Callithrix jacchus: one gene and its partner. The protein of the gene in region 1 binds, or shares a complex with, the protein of each later gene. Links are inferred from orthologs where the notes say so. Each region holds a gene or a part of one and is shown in the gene's direction. Other genes may lie near its edges.

What was found.
Region 2: POLR3E (region 1) and POLR3G share a complex: the UniProt entries of both Homo sapiens proteins name them as parts of the RNA polymerase III complex. The link is inferred for Callithrix jacchus from reciprocal best matches to the Homo sapiens genes POLR3E and POLR3G.

Annotation. Positions count from the first base shown.
Region 1 is NC_133513.1:22,884,205-22,900,350, forward strand, and holds the start of POLR3E (DNA-directed RNA polymerase III subunit RPC5), read left to right. Parts: upstream 1-5,591; 5' UTR 5,592-5,707; intron 5,708-12,033; 5' UTR 12,034-12,071; coding exon 12,072-12,107; intron 12,108-14,221; coding exon 14,222-14,272; intron 14,273-14,448; exon of another isoform or gene 14,449-14,564; intron 14,565-16,146. UniProt on the Homo sapiens protein: DNA-dependent RNA polymerase catalyzes the transcription of DNA into RNA using the four ribonucleoside triphosphates as substrates.
Region 2 is NC_133503.1:120,267,445-120,282,908, reverse strand, and holds part of POLR3G (DNA-directed RNA polymerase III subunit RPC7), read left to right. Parts: intron 1-3,287; 5' UTR 3,288-3,330; coding exon 3,331-3,447; intron 3,448-5,430; coding exon 5,431-5,560; intron 5,561-13,310; coding exon 13,311-13,367; intron 13,368-14,960; coding exon 14,961-15,011; intron 15,012-15,464. UniProt on the Homo sapiens protein: DNA-dependent RNA polymerase catalyzes the transcription of DNA into RNA using the four ribonucleoside triphosphates as substrates.

The DNA of each region.
Region 1 (16,146 bases):
TGGAAGCCAGAAAACCATCAGGATTTCCTTGACTCTGCTCCTCTCACTCTCTCATTCCCTGGTTTTCTATGCACTGGCTTTTGTCTGCCTCTCCAACTCACCTCACAGAATATAGCCACGCCAAACCCCCCTTCCTAGTTCTAGCCAATCTCAGGGACTAATTCCAGTACAACACAGTCAAATTAACAAATCAAAACCGGGTGTGGTGGCTCACGCCAGTAATCCTAGCACTTTGGGAAACCAAGGCAGGTGGATCACTTGAGGTCAGGAGTTTGAAACCAGCCAAGCCAACATGCTGAAACCTCGTCGCTAGTAAAAATACAAAAAAATTAGCCGGGCGTGGTAGTGTGCATCTGTAATCCCAGCTATGTGGGAGGCTGAGGCAGGAGAATTGCTTGAACTCGAGAGGCAGAGGTTGCAGTGAGCAAGATCTCATCACTGCATTCCAGCCTAGGCATAGATAGAGACTGTCCAAAAAAAAAAAAAAAATCAGTAACTAATTGATTCTCAAGAGAGAATCTGATTGGTCCAACTTGAATCCTCTGTCCACTAGCCATGGCTGGAGGGGTGGGGTGTGCAGCATAAAGGTGGCTTTTAGGGACCCACTCTCTGGCTGATCAGGTAGTTCCTAGAAAAATCAGACCCAGAGACCGGGCACAGTAGCTCACACCTGTAATCCCAGTACTTTGGGAGGCTAAGGTGAGTGGATCATGAGGTCAGGAGTTTGAGACCTGCCTGACCAACACAGTGAAACCCTGTCTCTACTAAAAATACAAAAATCAGCTAGGTGTGGTGATGTGTGCCTGCAATCCCAGCTACTCAGGAGGCTGAGGCAGGAGAATTGCTTGAACCTGAGATGCAGAGGTTACAGTGAGCCGAGATGTGCCACTGCACTCCAGCCTGGGCAACAGAGCAAGACTCCATCAAAAAAAAAAAAAAAAAAGAAAGATCAGACTGGGCAGAGATGCCAGCGATTATCCCTGACTATGAGGTTATTTCCTTTTGGAAAATCCAGTACCAAACTCACAAAAAGTCCTTCCTGGTACTAAAATACCATGATGAACACTCTGTTGACTTCAATGGGTTATTCCACATTCAGCTTTGAATTCCCCACAATGCCTAGCCTGTCTCCTTCATCCATGGCTGCTTCTGTATTTAAACAAAAAAAATGTCTTGAAAAGCAACCAACTCTCCTAGTACAAGAAAATCTTTGCATATCATTATATATGTTAAAGGGAGATGGACGGCCAGGTGTGGCAGCTCACTCCTGTAATTCTAGCACTTTGGGAGGCTGAGGCAGGAGGTTAGCTTGAGAACAGTCTAGGCAGCATAGCAAGACCCTGTCTCTACAAAAAATACAGAAGTTAGCCCAGTGTGGTGGTGCATGCCTCTAATCCCAGCTACTTGGGAGACTGAGATGGGAAGCTCACTTGAGCTCAGGATGTTAAGACTTCAGTGAGCTGTGATCATACCACTGCACTCCAGCCTGGGCAACAGAGCAAGACCCTGTCTCTTAAAAAAAAAAAGTGGATGGAGGGGAGGAAAAAGCCAGGCTGAGGAGGGACTGAAGAAGAAAGATACAGAATGCTCAAATGTTAGGGGCGTGTACCAACTAGTATTAGCCAGAAACTCGAATCATGGCCCTGAAAGGTCTAATATGAGCCAATGCAAAACAAGAATTCTACTTACAAAAGTGTGATTTATACAGTTTTTTTTTTGTTTTGTTTTTGTTTTTTTGAGACAGAGTTTCGCTCTTGTTACCCAGGCTGGAGTGCAACGGCACGATCTCGGCTCACCACAACCTCCGCCTCCTGGGTTCAGGCAATTCTCCTGCCTCAGCCTCCTGAGTAGCTGGGATTACAGGCACGTGCCACCATGCCCAGCTAATTTTTTGTATTTTTAGTAGAGACGGGGTTTCACCATGTTGACCAGGATGGTCTCGATCTCTTGACCTCGTGATCCACTCGCCTCGGCCTCCCAAAGTGCTGGGATTACAGGTGTGAGCCACCGTGCCCGGCGATTTATACAGTTTTTTATGTGTCTAAAGCATCACCGGAGTCAGTGGAGTTCCTGCCTAATTCCCCCATTCAGTCACCGTAAGCATTGACTCAACTCCTTGTGTTGAACAGAACTAATGGGAAAAGTAACCCATGTAAATGACAGAGAGAAACAAAAATGATAGAAGATTTGAGATTTCTTTTTTTTTTTTTTTTTTTTTTTTTGAGACGGAGTTTTGCTCTTGTTGCCCAGGCTGGCGTGCGATTTGATGGCACGACCTTGGCTTTCCGCAACCTCCGCCTCCTGGGTTCAAGCTATTCTCCTGCCTCAGCCTCCTGAGTAGCAGGGATTATAGGCAAGTGTCACTACACCTGGCTAATGTTTTGTATTTTTAGTAGAGACGGGGTTTCTCCATTTTGGTCCAGCTGGTCTCAAACTCCTGACCTCAGGTGATCAGCTTGTCTTGGTCTCCCAAGGTACTGGGATTACGGAAGTGAGCCACCATGCCGGGCCTATTTTGAAATTTTTATTATTTTTGAGGTAGAGTCTCACTCTGGTGCCAGGTAGGCATGCAGTGGTGTCATCTCAGCTCACTGCAACTTCCACTTCTCAGATTCAAGCAGTTCTTGTGCCTCAGCCTCCTGAGTAGCTGGAATTACAGGCATGTACTACCATGACCAGCTAATTTTTATATATTTTGTAGAGATGGGGTTTCATCACGTTGGCCAGACTGGTCTCGAACTCCTGGTCTCAGCTGATCCTCCCGTCTTGGCCTCCCCAAGTGCTGGGAATACACACGTGAACCGTCGCAACCGCTAGCCACCGAGACGTGCCCTATTTTTAATAAAATTTTAAAATATTATGGCTGGGTGCAGTGGCTCATGCCTGTAATCCCAGCACTCTGGAAGGCCGAGGTGGGTGGATCACCTGAGGTCAGGAGTTCAAGACTAGCCTGGCTGATATGGGGAAACCATGTTTCTACTAAAAAATACAAAAAATAACTGGGCATGGTGGCCAGCACCATGGTAATTCCAGCTACTTGGGAGGCTGAGGTAGGAGAATCACTTGAACCCAGGAGGCAGAGGTTGCAGACAGCCGAGATTGTGCCACTGCACTCCAGCCTGGGCAACAAGAGTGAAAGGTCTGTCTCAAAAAAAAAAATAATAATAGAATAAGAGATGTGGTCTTGCTATTTTTCTCAGGCTGGTCTCAAACTCTTGCCTCCAGTGGTACTGCCACCGCAGCCTCACCAAGTTCTGGGATTACAGGCATGAGGCACCACACCCAGTTGAATGAATTTTTTAAAGGACAACATATTCATAACATCTTTGTAACTTTTAATGAAAAGTATATACATAATAAAAGAATTGGAAGCAAAAGTGCCATGAGGCCAGGTGCGGTAGCTTATACCTGTAATCACAGCACTTTGGGAGGCCAAGGTGGAGGGTGTTGGGGTTGGGGGGGAGGGAATCACCTGAGTTCAGGAGTTCGAGACCAGCCTGGCCAACATGTTGAAATACTATCTCTACTAAAAATACAAAAATTAGCGGGATGTGATGGTGTGTACCTGTAATCCCAGCTAGCTACGCGGGAGACTGAGGCAGAAGAATCGCTTGAACCCTCAAGAAGGAGGTTGCAGTGAGCGGAGATCACACCACTGTACTCCAGCCTGGACAACAAGAGCAAGACTCTGTCTAAAAAAAAGAAAAGAAAAAAATTGCCACAATACTAAGTCATTAATTTAATGCCAGGTGGTGGCACTATGAGTGATTTTTCTTTTTTTTTCTTTTTTTTTTTGTATTTTTAGTAGAGACAGTTTTGCTGTTGACCAGGCTGGTCTCAAACCCTGGACCTCATGATCTGCCCGCCTCAGTTTCCCAAAGTGCTGAGCTTACAGGCATGAGCCACCACACCTGGCTGCATTTTTGTTTTTAATATCTGTGTATATGCACATAGATAGGTTTTTGTTTTATTTTTTGAGACAGAGTTTCGCTCTTGTCGCCCAGGCTGGAGGGCAATGGCGCGATCTCGGCTCACGGCAACCCCTGCCCCCCGGCTCGGCGGATTCTCCTGCCTCGGCCTCTGGAGTAGTTTGTATTACAGGCATGTGCCACCACGCCTGGCTAATTTTGTATTTTCAGTAGAGATGGTCTTTCTCCCTGTTGGCCAGGCTTAACTCCTGACCTCAGGTGATCCACCCGTGTTGGCCTCCCAAACTGTTGGGACTACAGGCTTGAGCCACCACGTCCAGCCATGGATAGGTATTTTTAAATACAGTCTTGTGGAAAAAAAAAGACCAGCCACTTGCAGATCTGTACGAATAATGTGACAATATTTTTGTTAAAATCCATACACAATAAAAACAAAGCTATATTCTATGATATCTCTATATATCCGTATAAATTCACAGCAAAAGATCTAGAAATATATATATAGTGTTTTAGTCCATTTTCTGTTGCTTATAACAGGATACCTGAAACTGGGTAATTTGTAAATAAAAGGAAGTTATTTCTTACAATTATGGAGGCTGATAAGTCCAAGGTCAACAGGATGTAGCTGGTGAGAGCCTGCTTGCTGGTGGGGTACCCCTGCAGAGTCACCAGGCAGTACAAGGCATCATATGGAAAGGGGGCTGAGCTGCTCACTTGCTAGCTCAGGTGTCTACTTATAAAGCCATTAGTCCCCCTCCCAAGATAACCCATTAATCCATTAACCCGTTAATACATGAATCCATGAATAGATTAATCCATTCATGAAGGCTCCACCCTCGTCATCTAATCGCCCCTTAAAGGGCCCACCATACAGTACTGCCACATTGGGGACTGAATTTCCAACACATGATTTGTACCTCATCTGCAAAGTTTAAATATTTTGCATTAATTCGCGTGTTGTGTAAGTAAAAATTTAAACATAATTTTTCAGAGATAACTGCCCAGACCAGCTCCCGGGTTTGGCCGTAGATCCTCTGATGCGTGTTTCTGATCGAATCAATTTCTTCTCCCGGAGACACCCAATCAGGGTCGTGTGGATTATTTGTGGGTTAACCAGGTCCCCGGTTAACCATCCAACTCAGAATATAATAGAGTTTCTAAAAATGCTTTTTGCTGTAAAACCTATTTGGAACAAACCTGGGTCTAAAGATTGGAGTAAGTACTTATTTTCGAATACATGACTTTTGAAAATAATTCTATAGGAATCAGAACACATGTTAAGTAAAAAAAAAAAAAACAAAAACCTCAGCGAAAATGCCTTTCAATTTCGAGAATAAATTCTAGAAAACGCATTAAGTAACTCTCTAGAAGAAATAATTCGCAGCTAGGTAGCGTGGCCGAGCGGTCTAAGGCGCTGGATTAAGGCTCCAGTCTCTTCGGGGGCGTGGGTTCGAATCCCACCGCTGCCAAGGTGGATTGTTTTTGTCTCCGCTGCACACACTGCCATCTCCGTTTTGAGCACGCCATCAGCGCCCCCTGCTGCAGGGCGGGGCATGGCCTCCATAAATGGCGCGGCGGAGGGGCGGAGCTCCGTGCCCCGGGGCGGGGCATTGTGGGTAAGAGGAAGCGCTGGGGCCGGCCTGCTCCCCCCACGTGTCCGCCAGAGTTTCTCCACCAGCAACATGGCCGCTGCCTGAGAGGAGAGCCGGGCCGCCGCCGCCTCTGCAGCCCGCGGGTTCCTGGGCTCTTGCCGCCGTCCGCGCGGCCCCCGCGGAGAGGTGAGTCCCGACTTGGCAGCGCCCTAGCTGGGGCTTGAGCCGGACAGCACTCAGTATGTGGGCCTGGGCTAGATTCCCGAGTAGGCCAAGGAGGCCCGCGCCGCGCTGTGCGTAGGGACTGGGGGCCTCTTGGGACGCGGGTGGGGAGGACGGACAGCCGGCTCTAGGTCGACCAGGCCAACCCCGGACACCGACCTCCCTGGCCCTACACTTGGGTGTTGGGGAGGCCGCGGCCGATGCTGCCGGCGGTGACTCAGGGTCCAGCCGATCTGCCCCACCCGGGCCGGAGCGGCCTCCTATGGAAGGAACACCTGTCTGGCGTCGGGTGTGGTAGCTGCTCGCGGCAGGAACTTCGTGGTGGGCGTGAGAAGGGGGCCTGACCACCCGTGAGGGAGCAGAAACCCATTGGACGGCGTGGCTCGGGGTCGGCGGCCAGCCGGGATGGGCAGGGACGGCACCTGCGCTTGCCGGAGCTCCCCTCTTTGCAGCTGAACCGGATCATCCTCTGCCCGGAGAGGCCCGAGATTCCTCATTCATTTATTCAGGCAACCATTCAGTGTTTACTGAACCAACTCTGTGCTTAGGATACGGCCCTGACCGGTCGGTCCGAGGAGGTGTCAGTAAACAAACAAGGTCATTCCTTTGGGTTACCTTTAGAATTCCTTGAGCTTGGGGACAGAAAGAAGAGATCGTATCGATCGCCACAGTTTGCTCATCTGTGAAATGGGAATAATAGAAATTCCTATCTCATGGGGTTGTGGTGACGGCTCAGTAGAAAGCAGGTGACGCTCTTGCTTGCAGCGCTTGACTTGTTGCTTAGTGTCATTACCCTCTTATATTGGAAGAAAACATGTTGTCAAGTAGTAACAAACCTTCCCATAGGTTGGGTCCTTACTCCCCTGTTCCTCCCTTCCCCAGCCGTCTGGAGGTCGGTATTTAGTTTCCCTACTTCAGGGATGAAAATAGGGAGGGATACCAAGCGTAGACAACTCAGGTGGGCCACAGATATGAAGCAGCAGTGGTGGGATTTGAACCTGCACAGTTTTGGTCTCGAGTCCAGGCTCTTACCCACTTAACCATACTGCCTTTTATTGAAGAGCTGTGCAGTGTAATGGTTAATAAGAATAAGGATCTTTGACATCAGCGAGACCCGAGTTACTGTCTTGATTCCACCTTGGAAAACGTACTCATCTCTGAACCTGTCTCCTCATTTCTAAATTGATGATAAATCTCTGTTGATAGTGCCAATGAGAAGATTAAATATAAAGTATTCTTTGTACTATATTGAGTGTCAACTTTGTGCCAGGCAGTGTTCTAGATATTGAGAGAACAGCAGTGGATTTTTTAAGTAATGATCTCCATAACAGCTTTGATGAAATAAAGTATAATTATCTCTGCATTTAGTAGAGGAAACTGACGCGCTGAGAAGCCTTCATGGAGCTTACATTCTGTTGCAGAAGACAGACAACACCTGAGCAAATAGACCAGGTAGTTTCAGATTAAGATGAGAACCACTGAGGAAAGCAAACAGAGATGTGGTGTAGTGCCTAGGAGGAGGTTGGAGAAGGCTCTTAAAATAGAGGAGTCAGGGAGCCTATCCTCAGCTGCAGACGGTGATGATGCTATTTAATAAAAAGGAGCAACCTTGGAAAGCCCTGTGGGGAATAGATGATGTGCAGAGGACCTTGGGGTGAACTGGGACTTGGCTTCTTGGAAGCCCTGCAACTGGCTACCAGGCCAAAAAGATGGTGAGGGGAAGATCGAGACAAAATCATGCAGGGCCTTAGAGTGGCTTATGGAAAGGAGTTTGGGTTTTATTTATATGACAATGATGGTTGACAGGTTTTAAGCAGGGAAATAATACGAGATATATATAAATTGTTTTTTTTTTTTTTTTTTGAGACAGAGTCTCGCTCTGTCGCCAAGCACCAGGCTAGAGTGCAGTGGCATGATATCAGCTCCCTCCACCTCCCAGGTTCAAGTAATTCTTCTGCTCAGCCTCATATATATATATATATATATATATATATATATATATATATTTTTTTTTTTTTTTAAAGACAAAGTCTTGCTCTCTCTTGCCCAGGCTGGAGTGCAGTGGCAAGATCTTGGCTCATTGCAGCCTCCGCCTCCTGGTTCAAGCAATTCTCCTGCCTCAACCTCCCGAGTAGCTGGGATTACTGGTGTGAGCCACCACACCTGGCTAATTTCTGTATTTTTAGTAGACACAGGGTTTCACCTTACTGGTCAGGCTGGTCTTGAACTCCTGACCTCAGGAGATCTGCCTGCCTTGGACTCCCAAAGTGCTGAGATTACAGTCAGCCACCGCACCTGGCTCTTTTTTTTTTTTTTTTTTTTTCACCCAATAGAGGGAAGGTCTTGTGATCATAGCTTACTGCAGCCTCAAACTCCTGGGTTCAAGCAAGCCTGCTGCCTCAGCCCAAGAAGTTGGGACTATAGGCCATGCTGGGCTATTTTGTCTGTGTGTGTGTGTGTGTGTGTGTAATAGAGATCAGGGTCTCACTATGTTGCTCAGGCTGGTCTTGAACTGCTGGTCTCAAGTGGTCCTTCCACCTAAGCCTTCTAAAGTGTTGGGATTACCAGTATGAGCCACCACGCCAGCCTGATTAACTTCTTTACGAGGACTCTGGCTGTTGCCGGGAGACGGAAGTAGGAATAAGGAGCCGTAGGGAGCCTCGGATGAGTGCTTTTCACATTGCAGATTGAGATTTATTAGTGGGAAATAAAATCAATTTAGGGGAATTGAAGCTAGCATTTTTTTTGTTTTGAATGAAGTAGAAAACATCACTGTCTGACATATAGTAGGGACAGTTATGGTTATGTGAAAACTTGTTTCAGTTATGCAATTGTATGTACTGGACCATTTATATGAGATGAATTTCTTTTTCTTTCTTTTTTTTTGAGACACAGTCTTGCTCTGTCACCCATGCTGGAGTGGAGTGGCAGGATCTCAGCTTACTGCAATCTCTGCCTCCCAGGTTCAAGCGATTCTCCTGCCTCATGTTCCTGAGTAGCTGGGATTACCACGCCCAGCTAATTTTTTATTTTTAGTAGAGATGGGGTTTCACCATGTTGATCAGGCTTGTCTCGAACTCCTGACCTCGAGATCCACCCACCTCAGCCTCCCAAAGTTCTGGGATTACAGGCTTGAGCCACTGCGCCTGGCTAAGATGAATTTCTTACTGTGGTGGGTCTTAGGCTGAAAACTTTGAAAGCCACTGAGTTGGATCACCTCAGCCTGGAGGATGAAGGGAGGTGACACTCTTTGCATCAGCTCAGATGCACTTTCCAGAGGGAGGAGCTCCAGCTTTCCAGCAGACAGGGCACCTCATCCTTCCTGATCCCTGGCAGGGCAGAGGCCAACGGGGCATAACAGTTGCTGAGAAAGAACTGTTGGGTCTCGGGAACCTCCCAGGCCACACCCTCTTAGTGGTTATGATCGTCCCCTTGCTCACCTGGCACTCTAGCCTCTCGGTTGTCCACTGCCCAGCTGCAGAGAAGGCAGGAGCTTGACATGTCTGGCACTCGGCAGCCGATGCAGAAGGGTAGGGCCTTGGGCTCTCCCTCCACACTGCCCTCTGTCTGCACAGCAGCAGGCACTTGAAACTGACAAGATGCAACTTCTGATTTTCATTCCATCCTCCATCTCTGGGACTGTTTGGATAGCCTGTTTCTCCTAAGTTTCTTTTTCTACCCCCTCCAGATCTTCCTCTGCCTGAAATCCTTCTGTAGCTTCCTATTAAATAGCATTCCCATGCTTTATTTATTTAGACAACAAACATGTATTGAGTGCCTACTGTGTACTAGGCACTTGGGGTACCACAAGGGACAAAACAGACCAAAATCTCTGCCTTCACATAGCTTACAGCTTACTGGCAATACGGGTGGGCACAGATGCAGAGCTGTAAACTGTCACACGGTGATAGACATCTGCTAGAGAGCACAGAAGGGAGTTAAGGGGTGGAGGAGGCAGTTTGCAATTTGAATTGGAGAGGGAAGGTCTTAGCCATAAGGTGACATTTGAGCAAAAACCTGAAAGAGGTGAAGGAGCGGCCAGGAGGTTATTATGGGATAGAGCAGCTATAAAGGCCTAGAGGTAGGTTTGGAGAGGAGGGTAGGAGACTCGTGGGAGATGAGGTCTGTCAGGTCAAGGGGCAGGAGATTGTTTAGGGCTTACACGGGATAATAAAGACTTTGGCTTTTGGCCAGGCACAGTGGCTCACACCTGTAATCCCAGCACATTGGGAGGCCAAGGCCAGTGAATCACTTGAGGCCAGGAGTTCAAGACAAGCCTGGCCAATATGGCAAAGCTCTGTCTCTACTTAAAATACAAAAATTAGCTGTGCAGGGCGGTGCATGCCTATACTCCCAGCTACTTTGGAGGCTGAGGCATGAAAATCACTTGAACCTAGGAAGTGGAGATTGCAGTGAGTCAAAATTCAGGCCACTGCACTCCAGCCTGGGCGACAGAGCATGACATGTCTTAAATAAATAAATAAATACATATTAGTTCAAGTGGTAAGTGGATCAGACAGAAGTCATGCTGGTCTTGGCTGGGCATGGTGGCTCACACCTGTAATCCCAGCACTTGGGGAAACCAAGGTGGGTAGATTACCTGAGGCCAGGAATTCAAGACTAGCCTGACCAACATGGCAAAATCTCTACTAAAAATACAAAAATTACCCAGGTGAGGTAGTGCACATTGGTAATCCTAGCTACTTGGGAGGCTGAGGCAGGAGAATCACTTGAACTCGGGAGGCAGAGGTTGCAGTGAACTGTAGCGCCATTGTACTCCAGCCTGGGCGACAGCAACACTCCATCTCAAAAAAAAAAATAAATAATCTCAACCGAGAGCAGAGGTTTGGGAACTGCTGAGGCCTGTGGGTGCCTGAGTACCATCCTACCTATGACTACCACTCTTCTCTTTGGGTATGTAAAGGTGCTGACCAGCTGAAATACTCAACCTGCCCCCTGGAGACCTGCTCTTGCAGGCACTTTCTGTCACCTGGAATTCCTCCTCCCCTCTGCTGTCATGCTTGTCCAAAGCCCTATCTCCTTCCAGGCGTACCCCATGTGCCACCTTCCCAGCAGGAAGGCCCTGCCTCTGAACTCCCCTATCTGTACCTGTCACCTGAGGTCAGACAGCCTGGATTTGAAGTCCAGTTCATCATCCTGCTTGCTGTGTGACTTCGGGTAAAAATGTGCAGAGTGTATCTGAGTTCTAGTCCATTCATTATACAACAGTGACAATCACCATACCTCACAGGGTCATTGTGTTGAATACAGGAGAGAAGAGTGTGTGAAGAGGTCATTTATAGACCAAAAACACAGAAGTGTCATCTCAGATTCGAATTAAAGTCAGCTTGAAAATCAAATATCAGAGACAGCTTTGGACTGTCTGTCTTCCTGATTGACATCTGGCTCCTCTTTAAAGCTTCCCCAGGGCTCCCAGTTCTCCAGTGTTTTAATCATGGCTGGGACCAGCCAGCCTCCATCCTTCTGTCTGGCAGTGAATTCTCTGTGAGTAGAGAAGGAACCCTTAAAGCCAGTCATTTGCAGCCTGGCTCAGTGGCTCACACCTGTAATCCCAGCTCTTTGGGAGGCCAAGGTGGGCAGATCATGAGGTCAGGAGATTGATACCATCCTGGCCAACATGGTAAAACCCATCTCTACTAAAAATACAAAAATTGGCCCGGCATGGTGGCTCATGCCTGTAATCCAAGCACTTTGGAGGCCAAAGCGGGCGGATCACCCAAGGTTGGGAGTTCAAGACCAACCTGACCAACATGGTGAAACCCTGTCTTAAAAGAAAGAGTTAAAATAAAAATAATAAAAAATATATAAAAAATAATAAAAATAAGTAAATAAAAAGACAAAATTCAGGGTGTGGTGGAGCATGTCTGCAATCCCAGCTACTTGGGAGGCTGAGGCAGGAGAATTGCTCGAACCCGAGAGGTGGAGACTGCAATGAGCTGAGATCATGCCACTGCACTCCAGCCTGGTAACAGAGCAAGACTTGGTCTCAAAACAAAACAAAACAAAACCAAGTCATTTGCTTTTCCCCACAGGTGCACCCCACACGTATTGGCTTGTTCTGCCCGCTTTTACCTGCTGCTTGGATTTTTCTTTTTTTTTTTTATTTCTTCTGGCTGATAGGGTATAGGGTTGGCTGTCCACTGGTGACTTCACGGTAGATGTAGAAAAGTCGGTTCGTTTGTTGTGCACTTCCCCTCCCAGTGCAGAATAGGCACGGGGAAATGTTGGTTGAACGACTGATGGTCTCAGTCTCTCGCCCTCCTTTGCAGATCGAGCTCAAAGACTGCACGGCTGGCTCTCCCTTAGTATGGCCAATGAAGAGGATGACCCAGTCATACAGGAGGTAACCACTGCCCTCTGTCCCCTGCTGCTGGTGCTGCAGGCAGTGGAACTGGGTCCCTTCCATGCGTACTCAGGCCAGTCTGGGACCTGTTGGTGTTCTGGGATACCTAACCCTTGATGTTCCCTCTGCTGTCTCCCAGACCCCTGCATGGCTGACCTCTCCCTGCCTTCAGGTCTCTGATCCAGCGTCACCTCATCAGAGAGGCCTTCCCTGACTGCCCTTCCACACAGGGCTCCCCTCCTGCACCTCTCTCTGCCCTTACCTTGGCTGTAACTGACACTTGGCCTAGCCCCTGTCATCGCCAAGATAATATTTCATAGCTTTTCTTCCTGTTCTCTGCTGGGCCGCACAGTCAAGTGCAGTGCCTGGCACTCAGGTACCTGGTGACTGTTTGGTGAATGAGTGGATAGGCTCAGCAGTCCTTCCTTCCCAGGCTTACGCAGATTCAGTCATTCAGCAGCTGTTCATTGGACCAAGTGCTGGGGGCTGTGAGCAGGGCAGGGTCCCCTTCCCCAGGAAGCTAATGGACCACGGGCACGAGGAAGGACTCTCCAGCCGCCCTGGTTGCAGGCTGTGGGAGGCAGATTCCCTCCCCTCCCTTTTTTTTTTTTTTTTTGAGAGAGAGAGTCTTGCTCCGCTGCTCAGGCTGGAGTTCGGTGGTGCCATCCTGGCTCACTGCAATCTCCACCTCCTGGATTCAAGAAATTCTCCTGCCTCCAACTCACTAGTAGCTGGGATCACAGACACCTGCCACCACGCCCAACTAATTATTATTTTTTTTTTTTGAGATGGAGTCTCACTCTGTAGCCTAGGCTGGAGTGCAGTGGCACGATCTTGGCTCACTGAAACCTCTGCCTCTTGGGTTCAAGTAATTCCGTTGTCCCAGACTCCCGAGGAGCTGGGACTACAGGTGCCTACTACCATGCCCAGCTAATTTTTGTATTTTTAGTAGAGACAGGGTTTCACCTTATTGGCCAGGCTGGTTTTGAACCCCTGACCTCAAGTGATCCACCCACCTTGGCCTCCCAAAGTGTTGGGATTACAGGTGTGAGCCACCATGCCCGGCCCAGGTTTCCTTTCTTAGAGAAAGCTGTTTGTAGCCAAACTTATCTTTCAGAATCCTTTTAACCCAGGACTTACACCTTTGGAAGGCAAAAGGCAAAAATGCCTTCAGCTTCATATGTGGAAGGGGCAAGGAGAAGTTCCCTAGAGCCTGGTCCAGGGACCCTAGGAGAAGGTCCAAGGACAGATGAATAGAGGTGGCTCTCCCTTACTTGGGGGATATTTGCTAAGTTTTTAGATTTGAGTTATTTAAATGCATTGAAGCTGCATCTACACTGCAGTAGCAGGAGTTGCAATGAGGGGTTGCTGATGGGATAGAGGAGTCCAAGCGACCCTGAGGACAGAGGCCGCATCCTCTGCAGCCAGGGGGTCTGGAATGCTTCCTGGCCAAGACGTGCCTCGGCCAAGTCCTTGGAGGAGCGAGCAGTAAAGGCTCAGGGGAGGCATGTGTGAAGGGCTCTGTAGGTGCAGGGAAAAGCATGTGCAAAGGCCCAGGGGCAAGAGACAATGTGGTTTAAAGGGAAGAGCTAGGAAGCAGGAAGGTAAGCTGCTGCATGGCGGGGTGGGTGTGGTTAGTGCTGGGAAGAAAGGAAGTGGAGCTGTCAGTCATGAAGGGTTTTGCAGACTCGCTGAGACGGCGTGACAGGCCTATCCAGGATGGGCAGGTGGAGGGCCCAGCCAGGAGGCATAGGCATAGGTGAGCCCTCGCCTGCCTGCCTCTCAGAAGAGCATTTGACCAGGCTCTAGGATGGTTCCCAATCAATGCAGCCCCGGGAAAGATGTGTGCTTGCTGGGGGATTGTGAACTTGGGTGGGGTGTGCCAGGTGAACTCTTGTCCTGGTTCCCCTGGGAGCTTTGGGGAGGGATTCCTGCATGTATCCAGGGTGCAGACTTGGATCCTCTTGTTTTTAGTATGAGCTGAGCTATTTCCTCCTTCCCCACACTGCCTCCCTGAGCCACTACCCCTAACTGAAGCTGGAGGCACGGGCACAGCCTGGGGAGTTCAGCACTGTCTTCAGTCTCCCGGTTAAGTTTTCTTCCCTTGTTCCCAGATCGATGTGTACTTGGCCAAGAGTCTGGCAGAAAAGCTGTATCTGTTTCAGGTAATTACGGGACTTGAAGGTAAAGACGGGAAAAGCAGGTGTGGATGGACAGTGTGAACTCGGGAACATGGACAGGAAACGATGGGAAACTTCAGATAGGGTTCTTGGTGTGGAGAATGTCATGGGGTCATTCTCTTTGCTTTTGTGGGTGGGTTAATATTGGTCTCATTTCAAAGACAGGAAAACTGAAGGAACACAGGAGAGGCAGAAGCGGGCAGCGGTTAAGGCTGGGGCTCTGTGGTCAGACCGGATTGAGAGCCAACTCCATCACACCTTAGCTGTGAGCCCTTGGGCAAGTTTCTTAATCGTTCTGTGCCTCAGTTTCCTCATTGGCAAAGTGGTGATGGTAATAATGCCTGCCTCCTAGGGTCCCCGGGAGGACGGGCTGAGTCCACAGTGAAGTGTTTAGGATGCCGCCTGGCAGAGAGTTAGTGTCAGTGACGATCACTGTTGCCATGGAGGCTCCGAGGGCCAGCTCCGCGGCAGCGTCTGTGAGTCCTCAGTCCTGCCAGCTGCCAGCCGTGAGGGCCCCGGGTTGCTACCTCTGCCCCTCCCCTTGCTGCTAGGCTAGCAGTTTGTCATAGTGTCTAACATGTATTGAGCATTGAAACGTATGCAAACTGTTTAAAGCATTTACCTAAGTTACCTCTTTAATCCCACAGTAACCCTGTGGTGGTGATTATTATATTTCATGATATATTGACATAGAATTTACACACCATACAGTTTCCCTATTTAAGTGTATAATACAATGGATTTTAGTCTATTCCTGGGTCTGTCCAACCAGTGCCACAGTCTGTTTTGGGACAGTTTTGTCCCCCTTTAAAGGAAGCCCGTGCCTATTAGCAGTCAGTCCCCATGTGCTCCCCATTCCCACCTCCAACCCCAGGCAACCATTCCCCTTATTTTCTGTCTATGGATTTACCTGTTTTGGACTTTTCACATAGCTGATTATGCAGCATGTGGCTTCCTGTGATTGGATGCTCTCACTTTGCATGATGTTTTCCGGGTTCATCCACATAGAAGCCATAGATTGCACTGATATTTGATCTTTAATTGATGAATAATGTTCCATTGTGTGGGTAGAGCACAGTTTGCTTATCCCTTTGTCAGTTGATGGGTATTTGGGGTATTTCTACTTTTTGGCTATTATAAATAATGCTGCTGTGGACATTCACATAGAAGTTTTTGTGCGGACATGAATTCTCATTTCTCCCAGGGATATGCCTGGGAGTGGAATTGCTGGGTCTACGTTTAGCTTTTTGGGGTGCTGCTGGACTGCTCCGCCCCATGTTACATTCCCACAGTTAGGGTCAGTGTTCGTATCCCAAGATGAACGTGAGAATTCGAGGCACAGGGAGGCCCTCACTGGCACAGAGGCCTGGGGCGCGCCACAGCAGCAATGCTACAAGCCTGCGCTGGGAGTGCCTGGCCTCCACTCCCTGGAGCTCACCCTTATGGGCTATGGGAATGGGGCCTGTCCCGTGTGCCTGCTGACCCTGCTTCCTTGACTGGCTGCACAGTGATGGTGGAGGTGCCAGTGACCCCCATGTATCCAGAGTGCCAAGCCCTGTGCTAGCGTCAGCTCTGTTTGCCTCCTTCGTGCTGGCAGTGGCCCTGGGAGGTGAGGATGCCTAGCCTCAGGGAGGCGAGGTACCTGCCCTCGTCCACATTTAGCAAGGGTTACGGTGAGGACTGCAAGCCTGGCCTGCGATTCCAGAACCTGCACCCTTCAGCATTCCCACCCGAGGTCAGGTGATCTCAGAACTGCCCCCAGCCCCAGCCTGGGAAGCAGGGAGGAGTCACGGCTTTGCTGCGTGAGTGAGTTTCTAGGAAATGACCATCTCCTTGTGCTGGAATCTAGCAGATGTGAA
Region 2 (15,464 bases), on another chromosome or scaffold:
AGGGCATAAGCTGAACTAACTTTGGGAGGAACTTTGTTTATAGTTTAAAATAAAGACTATAACAGATTTTCCCGAAACAAACCTCCTCCTTGCCTGGGGACTAGACTGCCTTTGTGGGACTAAGAAACTTCCTATGATTTCATCCCTGAACCAGTCAATCTGTACTTCTGATTCACTGGCCCCCTACTCACCAATTTATCCTTAAAATCTCTGATCTCCAGAAAATCTCTGATCTCGACTCAGGCAGGTTGGCTCACTCCTGTAATCCCAGCACTTTGGGAGGCCGAGGCAGGCAGATCACCTGAGGTTGGGAATTTGAGACCAGCCTGACCAACATGGAGAAGCCCCATCTTTACTACAAATACAAAATTAGCTGGGTGTGGTGGCGCATGCCTGTATTCTCAACTACTTGGGAGGCTAAGGTAGGAGAATCTCTTGAACCCAGGAAGCATAGGTTACATGAACCGAGATTGCACCATTGCACTCTGGCCTGGGGGACAAGAGTGAAACTCCGTCTCAAAAAGGAAAAAAAAAATCTCTGATCTCTGAGTTTTGGGAGAGACTGATTTAAGGAATAATAAAACTCCAGTCTCCTGCATAGCCAGCTCTGTGTGAATTACATTTTTCTATATTGCAATTTTCCTGTCTTGATAAATCAGCTCTGTCCAGACAGTAGGCATGGTGAACCCCTTGGGCAGTTACAAAATCATATCTGAAAATGTTCTCAGTATCATAGCCATTATATCAAATCAAATGTCATCCATTCTACTTGAGTAATTCAGAGAAAGCAGGAAACAGTGTTTCATTACAGAAAGATGTTAAATATATGATTTGCTTCCTGGGCCTTAAATGTAGAAGGACATTAAAATTGGCCATCATTGGCAGGGTGTCATTGGCTGGGCGCAGTGGCTCACACCTATAATCCTAGCAGTTTGGGACCAAGGTGTGCAATCACTTGAGGTCAGGAGTTGGAGACCAACCTGGCCAACATGGTGAAACCCTGTTTCTACTAAAAAAATATATAAAAATAAGCCAGGCATGGCATTGCACACCTGTAATCCTAGCTTCTTTGAAGGCTGAGGCAGGAGTCAAGATCCTGCCACTGCACTCCAGCCAGGGTGACGGAGCAAGACTTTGTCTCAAAAAAAAAAAAAAAATTAAAAATTAAAAAATTAAATTGGCTATCTAAAAGTGAAATGCCTTGTTAATGCTATTCCTTGCAAATGAATTAAAACTTGAACTGCCACATCCTGAGTGTTACTTAGATTTATAGCAGTTACAGTTATCTCACCTTTAAGGTAAACTTTTTTAGGTTGCTAAAGCTAATTTGTGTAATTTTAAACCTCAAAGACAGCACCTATGAAGTCCTTGATTCTGCATGTGTATTTTAACTCAACTACTCCTCAGTAGCTAAGGCTTCCACCAAAACAGTTCTCCCAATACTCTTAACATTTGCTGTGTATTAGAATCACCTGGGAAGCTTCTAAAATTGACTCTTGCCCAATCCTCACCCCAAGAGATCTGGATCAATTGGTTCAGTTCAGTGATTCACAAAACTTAGCTGCCTAAGATTACCTGGAAGGCTTGTTGAAACACCAATGCTGGGCCCATCCACAATTTCTGTTTTCTTTAGGTCTGTGGTGGAGCCCACAGTTTGCATTTCTACCAAGTTCTGAGTGATGCTGCTACAGACAGCCCTCTTTGAGAACCATTGCTGTAGTTTTTTAAGCTACCCAAGCGATTCTAATGGCAGCCAGGGTTGAGAACTGAGGGCTGCTTGCTTTGTAGTATAGCCCTGTGATAAAGTGAGCTGGGAGTTTTCAGCTTTTTGGCCCAAAGTATTGCATATATTCAAATTGTAGACAGTAAAATTGATAGAAGTAGCACTTTGTTGGTTTTAGGAGGTGTTCCTTCACCATTGGTGTGACAGACTAACATGGGTAACATTAATGACCAAGCAAGAAACTCTGGTGAAGAGTAGAGCAGCTGTGTGAAGTATTGTGGCTTGCATAATTTTGAAAGGAGGGCAAGTGAGTAGATTCAGAAATGAGACTGAGCTGATGGGGCCAAAACCAAAGCCACTCCTCTGACTTCCTCCAAGTGGTCTGGAGGACATATCATTGCTCTCCTGTGTTCACAGGGTTAAATGAGGCTCAGTATTACCAGCGGGGAAAGAGATGTAAAGAATGTGCATTATAATCATCTCTGTAGTTGAATGGAGACTTCTATTGAAAGAATTCTGGCATGGGGATCCCTGTTTATACATTGCCAGCTCAGTTCTCATAGTATAATCAGAGGATTCAAAAGTTCAATACAACTTGCATATGTGATATCACTACTGTCCCCAAAATTGAAGAATACAGATTTATCATAACTTTAGTGATTTCAGCTGTTTTTCTCTGATTTTTTTTTTCTAGGACAGATCTCTTTCTAGTCTGATTGATCCCATTCCCTTTTCTTGTTTTTTTGTTTTTTTGTTTGTTTGTTTGTTTATTTGTTTTTTGAGGCAGAGTTTTGCTCTTGTTGCCCAGGCTGGAGTGCAATGGCACGATCTCAGCTCACCGCAACCTCCGCCTCCTGGGTTTAAGTGATTCTTTTGCCTCAGCCTCCCCAGTAGCTTGGATTACAGGCATGTGCCACCACACCCAGCTAATTTTTTTTGTATTTTTAGTAGAGATGGGGTTTCTCCATGTTGGTTGTTGGTCAGGCAGATCTTGAACTCCCAACCTCAGGTGATCCGCCCACCTCGGCCTCCCAAAGTTCTGGGATTACAGGCATGAGCCACCACGCCCGGCCATCCCATTCCCTTTTCTAAAAGGGGGGTATTAGACTAGATCTCAGGGATACTTCCTAACACTCACATGCTAAGATACATCATTTAAAGTTTTTAAGTATATATGACTAAAGATAGTTTTTAAGTTGATATGAAAAAAATAAAGATTTCTTCTCTTCTTCAGCCCAGTCTTTTCTTGTGTCCACTTTTTATATACATTACATCTGAGATCCTATTGTCAAACCACAGAGGGGTGGGTGAATTGCCTGGACTGGATGGAGCAGTAGTACGTTAGGGAGTTGAAGCCATCATCACCTTACCTGTCCAAAGGTGGATGAGTGTGAGAACTTCAACAGATAGTTGAAGTTCTCTACATGTTTTTATTTCTCTACATGTTTTGCTTTCCAAAAGTATTTTGAATCAGCTATGCTAATTAAGGGGTGCAGTTTTATATTTTGCTTTAAACAGTTGATTTCCTTTTATATGTGATCCAATAAATCTTAATCATTAATAGTGCCTTTCAGAATTTGCCCACTCATCTGGTATAACTAGTTCTGATGGCTGGGAATAAAGGAAGAGGACGTGCTGCTTATACCTTTAATATTGAAGCTGTTGGATTTAGCAAAGGTGAAAAGTTACCTGATGTAGTGTTGAAACCACCCCCACTATTTCCTGTAAGTATATGAACAGTTGAATTCTCATAGTGTGTTTTTTTATTTTTCAGAGAATATTAAAATTCCATATAGGACTTGATATCATCATTATGTATTCTCAAGTATAAGAGTGTGTTTCACTTACCTTTAATTTAAATATTTCTATGATCTGCTTTCTTAAAATATAGAAAACAAAACTGTATACATCTTTCCATGAATATATGTGAACCAATAAAGATTAGTTTTCAATTCTTACAACTTCTGTTGGTGTTATTGATCTATTCCAATGTCAAAATAATAGTTTAAAAAGCCATTAGGTTTTATAATGGTTCTCAGTTCCCACTCTATCATGACTTCACTTAATGATTTTCTTCTCGTCTTGTATCTATAGAATTTAATTTTGCTCTTTAGTATACCACTTGACTTTTTTTCCCACTGAACTTTTTTTGCTTAGTGTTGTTTTAAAATTTAGCGAGTATGCTGGAAGCATAATTTGCATAACGTGTTATGTTTCACTTTATATTTAGTTTAAAATGTATCCAGGGATCTACCTGTCTCACACAAGGAATTTCTGCATTTTGCTCTTGATATTTTACCTTTTTGATATTTAGCACAACATAAAAACAAAGACAAATACCTCAGGTATTTGCATAATGTCACTTTACAGTGATCTTTAAAACAAGCTCTTTTTCATGTGTGAGATTACTTCTAAACAGTGGGGACGTTAGTACATAGTATTTCTTTATACCTGGAATAAAATTAAAATTCCTTACTACTCGATAAAAGGCTCTGCCTGATCTCTCTGTTCTGATGTCTCTCTGACTTTTTTCCTACCACTGTCCTTCTCATTCCCCAGCTAAGCTCGTCTCCTTGTGCCCTCAGGCCTTTGCCCCTCCTGGTTCCCCGCTGGAACCATCTCTTATCTTCAAATGGATGGCTCCCTGATTTTATCCCAATCTACTCAAATGTGACTTCCCCTAGCGGCCATGTACCCTGTGTAGATTCCACCTCCATCCTCCATGCTCTTAGTAGTCACTTCCTTTACCCACCTGCATTTATTTTTATGTTATTTATCACTAAGTGAAATTGTATATCACCTCATTTGTTTACTAATTTGTTGTGTGTTTCTCTCCTAGAATGTAAGTTCCCTGTAGGCAGGGACTTTGACTTGCTTATCATGGTATCTTCTAAAGTCTAACCATGTTAGGTACTCAATAAGTAGTTATAGCATGAATGAATACATTCCTAATCAAATTTTGAAAATGCATTCTATCTTTATCCTCTGAGACTAGAAATGTCTTTACTGTGTACACTAGAGACCCACTTGTTAATGAATATATTTGTGTAAATATATACATACATACAAATGCATATTTGCATGTATGTATATGTGTGTATAATTTTTAAAACTTGAAATGCAGCTTCAAACTCTGTCTTTGCAATTTATTCATTATATGGGCTTACAAATTGTTCACTTCTCGATTTCTTCACTGCAAACGGAGAAATATTGGTAGTCCTTTCAATGAAATAATGGGTGTTGAATATTGAGTACATCCTAGTCACATTAACCACTTACTAAATAAAAACTGCTGCTTTTTTTTCCCCCAGTAACACCATCACTAGTTGAGGTTAATAAGAATCTAAAGCGTCTGCTCTCATTTGGGTACCTTAATTTTTTTTTCTTTCTTTTTTTCTTTTTGGTACTCTAATTTTTAAAATAGAGAATCACATAGGTCAACAGACTGTATGGCAAAGTGGTTATTGGGTGTAGTTTCAGGGCCAATAGGAAAATAGGCATCTTTCTTATCTCTAAGATAAGAGCAAAGTAGGAAATGGGTTAACAGGTTAAATAGACTACAGAAGTTCATCTTTTAAGTTGATTGTAAAACTTAGTGCCTGTAAAACATACTATTTCAAGAAAACTGCTGTTTTCTGTAATACAGATAAAAGATATTAAAATACATAATTTATTTTTTAAAAACCTTTATCTCTTAATTTAAACAGGTTACAGATTATAAACCCGTGCCACTGAAAATGGGAGAAGGTGAAGAATATATGCTGGCTTTGAAACAGGAGTTGAGAGAAACAATGAAAAGAATGTCTTATTTTATTGAAACACCTGAAGAAAGACAAGGTACCATATTGAAGTCTTTGATTATATGGTTTAATGTGTGCAGATGAAACAGTGTTTAAGCACAAGATATAGAATCATTTAATGATTGATTCAACTCAATAAAAAATTAAGTACTTTGAAAAAACACATTTATGTTGATTTAACAGAAAACATACTTTAAATTTTTTGATATTTTTAGAAATTCACAGTAATTTTATATGTTAAATGAAAATTATGAAAAACAGGAAAATTTTAAAAAGTAAAAATTACCCATGCTTATGTCTAGAGAACCACTATTAATATTTATTATATTCCAGATTTTTTCTTCTGCATGTATATTCTCTTTATAAAACTGGTTTCGTATTACTTTGTATCTTCCTTTTTTCACTCAGTAGTATATTAGCATTTTTACATATCCTTCTTATTTGTGGGAAATATGACTTTTAATGACTCTGGTAGTCTACTCTGTGGATATAATATTATTAACTGAACTAATTTTCTGCTTTTTAAAGATTATTTCCAGTTTTTTGCTTATATATAAAATGTTGTGATTATTATCATTATACAAACCTTTATGCATGTCTCTGATTATCTAATATTTAGGTTAAAACATTTTTAAGCCTTGATTTTTTAATATATATATTATGAATTAAAATATGTATTCATTGGTGATACTTAAGGCAGAAAAGAAAAATTATATTTGGAGAGTGCTTGACAGTCTCAGACTAGAAATGGGAAGTGGTTTTACAGGAAAGGAAGCCATTCCTGAGTAGCTATTTAGCACAGCAGTACTATATTGATTTTTTACTTTCTGCCCTTGATTGTTGAAATTAGAGAGACTGATATCATCATTGAGTTCGCGAAACACCATCATTAAAACATGAGAAATTCACATAGCATCATATAATTCCATTAGTATTAAAAGTACATTCCATTTTTCCCCTCTCTAGAATAATTTGAATTGGCTGAGTCTAAATAATGAAGCCTTATGTAATAATCTTAGCATGTGCTTATAAATATAGGAAGCACTTTAGATAAGTTCATTTAATTCTCAAAACACAGCTGCTTGAAGTTTTATAATGGTTCGATAAGAGATATTTTATCTCAAAAATACTTAATTTTTTTTTTTTTTTTTTTTTTGAAATTGGAGTCTCACTCTTGTAGCTCAGGCTGGAGTGCAGTGGTGCAATCTCGGCTCACTGCAACCTCCGCCTCCTGGGTTCAATTGATTCTCATGTCTCAGGTTCCCAAGTAGCTGGGATTACAGATGCGAAGTACCACGCCTAGCTAATTTTTGTATTTTTAGTAGAGACAACATTTCACCATGTTGGCCAGGCGGGTCTCGAACTTCTGACCTCAAGTGGTCTGCCCACTTCAGCCGCCCAGAGTGCTGGGATTACAGATATGAGCCACTGCACCCAGCCTAATACTGAAATTTTTAACTTTCATGATTATGTTGTATGCCTTCATCTGTTTGAGTTCCAAAATAAAACTTCTCATTTTAAAGATTTTAAAAAGACCAAATGAACGAATCAATATTCACTCTTATAAGAAAAAATACTAATGCAAGGTACACTTTAGTCCTTTTAAAATTGATCATTTCTCTATGGCACAGATTTACTTAACTGAATGTGGTCGTTATTGAAACACGTCTAATTTAAAAGTACATCAAATCAGGCCAGGTGTGGTGGCTCACTCTTATAATCTGAGCACACTAGGAGGCCGAGGTGGGCAGATCACCTGAGGTCAGAAGTTCGAGACCAGCCTGGCCAACATGGGGAAGCCCTGCCTTTATTAAAAATGCAAAAATTAGCCAGGCGTGGTGGCATGTGCTGTAGTCCCAGCTAATCAGGAAGCTGAGGCAGGAGAATCACTTGAACCTGAGAGGTAGAGGTTGCAGTGAGCTGAGATCACATCACAGGACTACAAGGGAGACTGTCTCAAAAAAAAAAAAAGTATATCAAATCATTAAAGCATTTATGAGCCTTTTAGACAGGGATATTAAAAACATAATTTTGTTGTTGATCTGTGGGAGTGGTTGGCTCGTACATGGATTAAGGGAGCCCTTTTATCTTTGATAACTATGCAATAAAGTATTTAAAAAATGTAAGGGTTTTTTTGCTTTTATTTCTTTCAGGAGAAAATTCTTGTATGAAATTTCCAAGCTGATACAAGCACATTCTCCCTGAGATCTTCATGTTTACTTCTGCCTTTTTTTAATTGTTTTATTTTTCATTTTAGAAATGAGGTCTCGTTTTGTCACTCAGGCTGGAGTGCAGTGGCACAATCATAGCTCACTGCAGCTTCCAAACTCCTGGGCTCAAGTGATCCTCACACCTCAGCCTCTTGAGTAGCTAGGACTACAGACTCACACCACCATGGCCAGCTAATTTTTTATTTTTTTATTTTTTGTAGATGGGGGTCTCACTTTTTGGTCATACTGCTCTCGAATTCCTGGCTTCAAGTGATCCTCCTGTCTTGGCCTCCCAAAGTGGTGGAGTTACAGGCATGAGCCACCACACCCAGCCTAAGTCTTTTTCTTAATATTGTGTGTTTAAAAAATGAGCTCATGTTAAAAATAAAGGTTTTTCTATAAAATACATACATTTATAAGTGCATATATAGGTTTAAATATGTATATATGTGCATGCATAAATGTATATAATAACCATGCTATGAGTGAAGCAGAATTGGCCAGACTCAACAGAACTACCCAAGTGTCCGAGAGAACTATATTCTGGATAGAGATGTTGCATGACTGCAGTTTTGCCAGGTGCATCACTTGCCACCTGTGTGCTTTAGGAAAGAGAGACTTACCGACTACTGTAAAGCACTACATAACTAGACATCAGGACAAACAAATAGGGTAGGAGATCTCAAGACTTCCTGATAGTCAAGTGACTGCTGACTCAGGGCATTGAGATCAGTCCTGAAGAACCTAGGGCATGGAATGAACTTATTTCATGTTGTGATGTCTTCAAAGTTTGTTTTTAGTGTTTTCAGGTAGAATTTTAGAAATGATTAGTATTTTCTTTGCATTGAAATTTGTTATTTATTTAACAAAGGAAAAACACCAGTGAACATTATTTTAGTTCACTGGTGTTTTTCCTTTGTTAAATAAATAACTGTAGCTGTAAGAGGATGTAGAGATCATCTGGTCTAGTGGTTCCCAGCTCAGGTCCTGAACCACTGGGTCCTTTGAGGTAAGAACATGATTCTGATAGTGGTAATGGTGTAATAAGCCATTTTCAGAACTTAAAGCTAGATGGAAATTATACATTTACTTAAATATGTCCACAGGTCTGTTACTGAGTAAATGGAATTTGGCTTCCTAATTCTTGTTATACCATCAGTGTCCATGAGACTCAATATAAATTTTTGAGGTTTTTTTTTTTTTTTTTTTTTTGGAGCAGTTCCTATTGTTTGTATGATTGATACTCATAACTTTTATTCTTGCATAGAGATTTTCTAAAGAACAAGCAGAAATTTACTTAAAAAAGAAAACTCGTTTTATCTTAGCGTGCCATTATCAGCCCCTTGGACCCTTTTTTTTTGAGGCGGAGTTTCACTCTTGTTACCCAGGCAGGAGTGCAATGGCGCGATCTCGGCTCACTGCAACCTCCGCCTCCTGGGTTCAGGCAATTCTCCTGCCTCAGCCTCCTGAGTAGCTGGGATTACAGGCACGCGCCACCATGCCCAGCTTATTTTTTATATTTTTAGTAGAGACGGGGTTTCACCATGTTGACCAGGATGGTCTCGTTCTCTTGACCTCATGATCCACCTGCCTCGGCCTCCCAAAGTGCTGGGATTACAGGCTTGAGCCACCTCGCCCGGCCTGGACCCTTTTATATATCTAAGATAATTATGGAATCTGAGTGATCTTATTTTTTCTCTATCTTGAACTACCTTGCTACTTCATCATCATAGATATTATCTCATCATCATTCATCAGATATTTCCCACTATGCTGAAGAAAAGAATAAATACAAAAAATAGGAGAATGATGAAATTGTGCAGTTGAAATAAAACATCACTATTATATTATATAGTTTTCCTGTTCCTTTCCTTTGGACAAGTTTCTAATGCTTGTCCAAAGTATTACATCTTTTTTTTAAGAAGATATAAAGTGTGCAGAGACCTTCATATTTGTAGTTGCTCTGTTTTAATTGAATACAATTGAAAAATTCAAAAATTTTTAATTTTCTGCTCATAATGTCCAAAATTGACAGAAAGAGACATTCCACAATTCTTAGACGAACCGGAAGATGAATTCAAAGAGATAAATAGCTCTCTGGATGCTAATGATGATGATGAAATTGATTTTATAAGCAAAATCTCAGACTATGAGTCTTTAGTGTCTTCAATGAATTTTTTCAAATTCAAGAATCAATGAGTAAACACTATCTCTAAGAATTAAAAAGGAATTATGGTGGCCTTGTATAGTTAATCTTTGAAAAAGACCTCATCATGTAATACTTTATAACAAAAACCTGGATCATCGTGTTTGCTAAAATGAGGTGATCATTTTTGTTTTGTTTTATGATATTTGTGCACCAAAATTAATTTGATGTTTGTAACTGACAAATGCTGAAAAAGAAGTTGATTGTACAGACATGAAATCATTTTTTGGACTGATCGTATTAATTGGTAATTATAAATTTAATGAAAATATTTTGCAAGTGTAGAGTAAAGATCACTGGACCATCTTCAATGAAATATGAGAAATCAAAGTTTTTAAAGTATTGCATTTTGGTTATGTAAGTACGAGAAGAATTGGAGGTAGTGATAAACTAATCTACTAGAAATGCAGATGATACACGTATGAGAAAAAGAACCAAAAGAAATTATAAGTTAGAACCTATTAAAGATGTGTTTGGAATTGGGGATCAGGATGTACAGAAGGCATATATTCTGGATTTGTGTGTGGCAGTTGATGCACAGAAAAGTGCATTCAAATGACTTTGCCCGTTTTGGTTAAATTTTCCTTCAAAACCACTAAAACATGGAATATAAATTTGAATTTGCTATGCTTAATTACTTAGTAAAGTCTCTAATAGCTTTATTTATTTTCGTTTGAGACAGGATATCATTTTGTTAACCAGGCTGAAATGCAGTGGCGTAATCTCAGCAGTAAGCAGCCTCCACCTCCCAGGCTCAAGCGATCCTCCCACCTGCCATATCTTCCCAAGTAGCTGGAACCACTGGCATGAGCCACCATGCCCGGCTAATTTTTATATTTTTTGTAGAGATGGGGTTTCATCATGTTGTTCAGGCTGGTCTCGAACTCCTGAATTCAAGGGATCCACCTGCCTCGGCCTCCCAGAGTGCTGGGATTACATCTTGAGCCACTGTGTTGGGCCTAGTTTTACTGATTTTTTTTTTTTTTTTTTTTTCTGAGCTTGAGTCTTGCTCTGTTGCCCAGCTGGAGCACAGTGGTGCAATCTTGGCTCACTGCAACCTCCGCCTCGTGGATTCAAGCAATTCTTCTGCCTCAGCCTCCCAGGTAGCTGGGACTCCGTACATAGCTAGGTACATGCCACCATGCCCAGCTAATTTTTGTATTTTTAGTAGAGACAGGGTTTCACCATGTTGGCTAGGATTATCTCGATCTCTTGACCTCATGGTCCACCTGCCTCGGCCTCCCAAAGTGCTGGGATTACAGGCGTGAGCCATCGCTCCCAGCATTACTGATTTTTAAGTAAGGGTTTTACTGAGACATAATCCACATATGTAAAATCTACTTTTTATAGTGTACAATTCAATGACTTTTAATATAGTCACAGAATTGTGCAATCAACTCTGCTATTTAATTTTTTTTTTTTTTTTTTTTGAGACAGGGTCTTGCTCTGTCACTCAGGCTGGAGTGCAGTGGCATGATCTCAGCTTACTGCAGCCTCCTCCTGGATTCAAGTGATTCTCTTGCCTCAGCCTCCCGAGTATCTGGAATTACAAACACACCACACCTGGCTAATTTTTTTGTATTTTTAGTAGAGATGGGGTTTCACCATGTTGGCCTGGCTGCTCTTGAACTCCTGACCTCAAGTAATCTACCCACCCTGGCCTCTCAAAGAGCTGGGATTATAGGTGTGAGCCACTCCGTCCAGCCACTGTCTAATTTTTTAGAAGCTTTTCATCATCCAGAAAAGAAATTCTGTACCCTTTCGTAGTCACTCCCTATTCTTCCCTCCTGACAACCCATGGCGCCAGCAATCTGCTTTCTGTCTCTAGAGATTTATCTGTTCTGTCCATGTCATGTACGTGGAATCATGTAATATGTGTCTTTTTTAGACTGGCTTCTTTCATTTGCCATAATGTTTTCAAGGTTCATCAATGGCTTAGTACATATGAGTGCTTCATTCCTTTTTCTGGCTGAATTATATTCCACTGTATGGATATGCCACATTTTGTTTATCCACTCATCATTTGATGGGCATTTAGATCAGTTCACTTTTGGGCTAACATAAATTATGCTGTCATGAACATTCATGTACATGTTTTGTGTGAACATATGTTTGCATTTCTATTGGAGATATACATAGGATCATATGGTAACTATATTTAACATTTTGAGGAACTGTCAAACTGTTTTCTAAAGTGGCTGTACCATTTTACATTCCCATCAATAATGTATAAGGGTTCCAATTTCTCCATATCCTTAACAACATTTTTTTAAAATTCTAGCCATCCTAGTGGTTGTAACACCGTATCTCATAGTGGTTTTGATTTAAATTTCTGTTATGATTAATGATGTTGGATATCTTTTCATGCTTTTTGTCCATTTTTGTATCTTCTTTAGAGAAATGTCTATTCAGATTCTTTACCCTTTTTTAATTGGGTTCCAATAATTGTTTTTTAATACTTCTTTACTCTTTTATCTGTTATCTTTTTTATTCTCTGTATTTCATTCTTTGAAATTAACTTTAAAATATAAAAAAATGTTCTATTGTACCGAGAGAAAAAAGGGTAAACTTTTTTTTCTGGTATACTGAGGGTTAAAATTATTTAAAATAGGGAATCTGTTTTGGAAAATTTCTAAAAAAAACGAAGTCATTGTGTTACAAATGCTAGGAATCTCTCATTTATGCTGACTTCATTTTACAGATGAAAAACTTGACGAGATTAGTTAAAACGTTTGACCTGATGTCAAGCAGTTAAAATATCTAGAAAACCTGATCTCTTGGTCTCTTATCTAATGCTTATTTTAGTTATCTTTCTCTATACATGATTATATTATTTGGAAGCATATTCTTGACATAGAAGAAAAATCAGTACATATTTGGTCCTTGACTTTACATCTATTCATCTTTAGTATTATCTTCCCTTTTTCATGCCTAACTGCTGAACTGCTTTTTATGATGAACATGGCTTCAGGTTTTGTGTAATAGTGTTGCTTTCCAACTTGTGCTGCTGGGAAATAGTTTGTGCCCTCCTGAGGGGTGTTCTTGTGATGAGGTGGACAAGTCTGAACCAAGAGCCACAATTGTGGCTTTAATGGTTTTGGCAAACTCAGAGGGTCCCTGCAGAGTTTTCAGCAGTTGGCATGGAAGACTTGCAGCTTGCTCATTTATCCCTCAGATCAGTAACCCCTCGCCAAGTCCAACCTTGCCTACTCCTACCCTTTTTCCCATTCTCTTATGTCCAAATGTAGGAAACTCCCTGTATGTGAAATAAAAAATGTTGTCTCTTGTTTTCAGTTATCTTAAAGGAATGGCATAAGTTCAGGGTTACTTTTGATTTTCCTAATGAGCTCTTTATTCTTTTTTCCCCCTAGATATTGAAAGGTATAGTAAAAGATATATGAAGGTGTACAAGGAAGAATGGATACCAGGTAACTACAAAACACACAGTATGAAAACAGTTTTTAAAGCCTGTCTCATATTTTTTTTTTAAGGATAAGTTTTCTATTTTTACAAAAAGAAAATTGAGTCTGGTTCTTTTATTGTGATTAATTAGTAATATAATTCTCTTGGAAACTAAGGTGAAAATACTTTTATGCTAAAACAAGGAAGATTGAAGTGCTTTTGTGGAAGTTCTTAAAATATATTTTTCATAAAAGGACACGGCAAACAAACCCTTTTGATTTTCTAATTTTATTAGCCACAATCACAATTTTAGTTTGAAATGTCAAAAAGCACAAATACTATGCTCCTGAGCAATTTTAGAGCATTTGAAGAGAAAGCAAAAATCTAATTTTAAAGATATTTTAAGCCAAGCTCATGGATCTTCCTTTCTTATCAGCAGGCATAGACTATTTTTACTTGTTAGGTTTCTTTTTCAAAATAACTATATCTAAAAAGAAGCTTTACCTTGGGTATAGACAACTTAGAAGGGGCTGTAAAGGAGCCCTCATCCCACTCATTCATTTTGCAAATAAAAACAGTTGCCATAGAAATAAAGTGACCTGTCAGGACACATGGCCAATACTGTTAGAACCCAGGTCTTCTCATTTTAATTCACATTCTTTTTATGTCTCTGTCCTTGATCTTTTATGGAATCTGCCCTTATGTAAAAACATAAATGACATTAACAGCATTATCATTTTTACAGATTATAGTACTATCTTTTCAATGTGGATAAGTTTGGGCACCCTGGAAACAACTTAGGTCTCTCATTTCTTCCATTTCATTAGTATTCATCCCTCAAATGTTTCTCTTCACATATTCCATCAGGATCTAAAATGAGTAGTTTACAAAAACTAAACTATATTCAAAGCAAAATTTATTAGTTTAGGTAAAATGACTTGAGATTTAAATGTTTTGTAAAAATGCACTGAAATTTTCTTATTAGCAGGTAGTATTTTTATACCAATTTTTCTGTTGCTTCAATTTTCTGCTTAACTATATGCCTAAAAATTAAAAGAAGCTGACACATTAGAGGAATTATTTAGATAATGCAAGGAAAATTTATTTGAGGACATTTATATTTGACAGCTATTTATATTTTTAATTTTAAAGTTTTCAGATATTAGAATTGCTTATTTCATTTTGCATGTGTTGGGATTGTGGTACATACTTTGGAAAAAAATTTGTTGCATAAGAAATATATCTAGTACATAATATATAAACTATAGAAAACTTACAAAATACAAAGTAGTCAAATAAATCAATATAAATAATACTTAAAATTTGTTGTAATTCCAACACCCACAAATAATTACCTTTAAGATTTTCTTCCCAAAAAATTTTATAGCACTATTTCAGAGCTATTTTGATAAACTTTTTTCTTTATAGGAAAATACATATCATTGTCTGTTATATTTCGATTTTGTTTTGTTATATTTCAGGCTAAATTTGTACAGTCAGATTCCAAGGCACTTTATTGTCATTGCCTGGATAACCGTTGTTTCCTTCAAATAGTTATGTCCAATGCCACTAATTCCTAGAGGAAATTGCAATTTTTTAATATTTTTTTTTATGTACAGATTGGAGAAGACTTCCAAGAGAGATGATGCCAAGAAATAAATGTAAAAAAGGTACATTGACTAATATAATAGTAATTCAGGTAGGAAAAGGTTATTTCTTACATTCTGTTAATGTGGACTTATCAACCCAAAGTTATACTTACTGTTCTTAATGCTTTTCTTAAAGTATTTTGAGCCAGACAGGAAGGCTCATGCCTGTAATCCCAGCAGTTTGGGAGGCTGAGGTGGGAGGATTGCTTGAGCCCAGGAATTTAAGACCAGCCTGGGCAACATAGTGAGAACTTGTCTCTACAAAAAGTTAAAAAAAAAAAAAAATTATCCAAGTGTGGTGGCATGTACCTGTAGTCCCAGCTACATGGGAGGCTAAGGTGGGAGGATCACTTGAGCCCAAGAGGTGGAGGCTGCAGTAAGCCAAGATTGCACCACTGCTCTTAAGCCTAGAATACAGAGCAAGACCCAAACACTCTTTCTAAGACCCTGACTCTCTTTCTCTCTGTCCCTGGC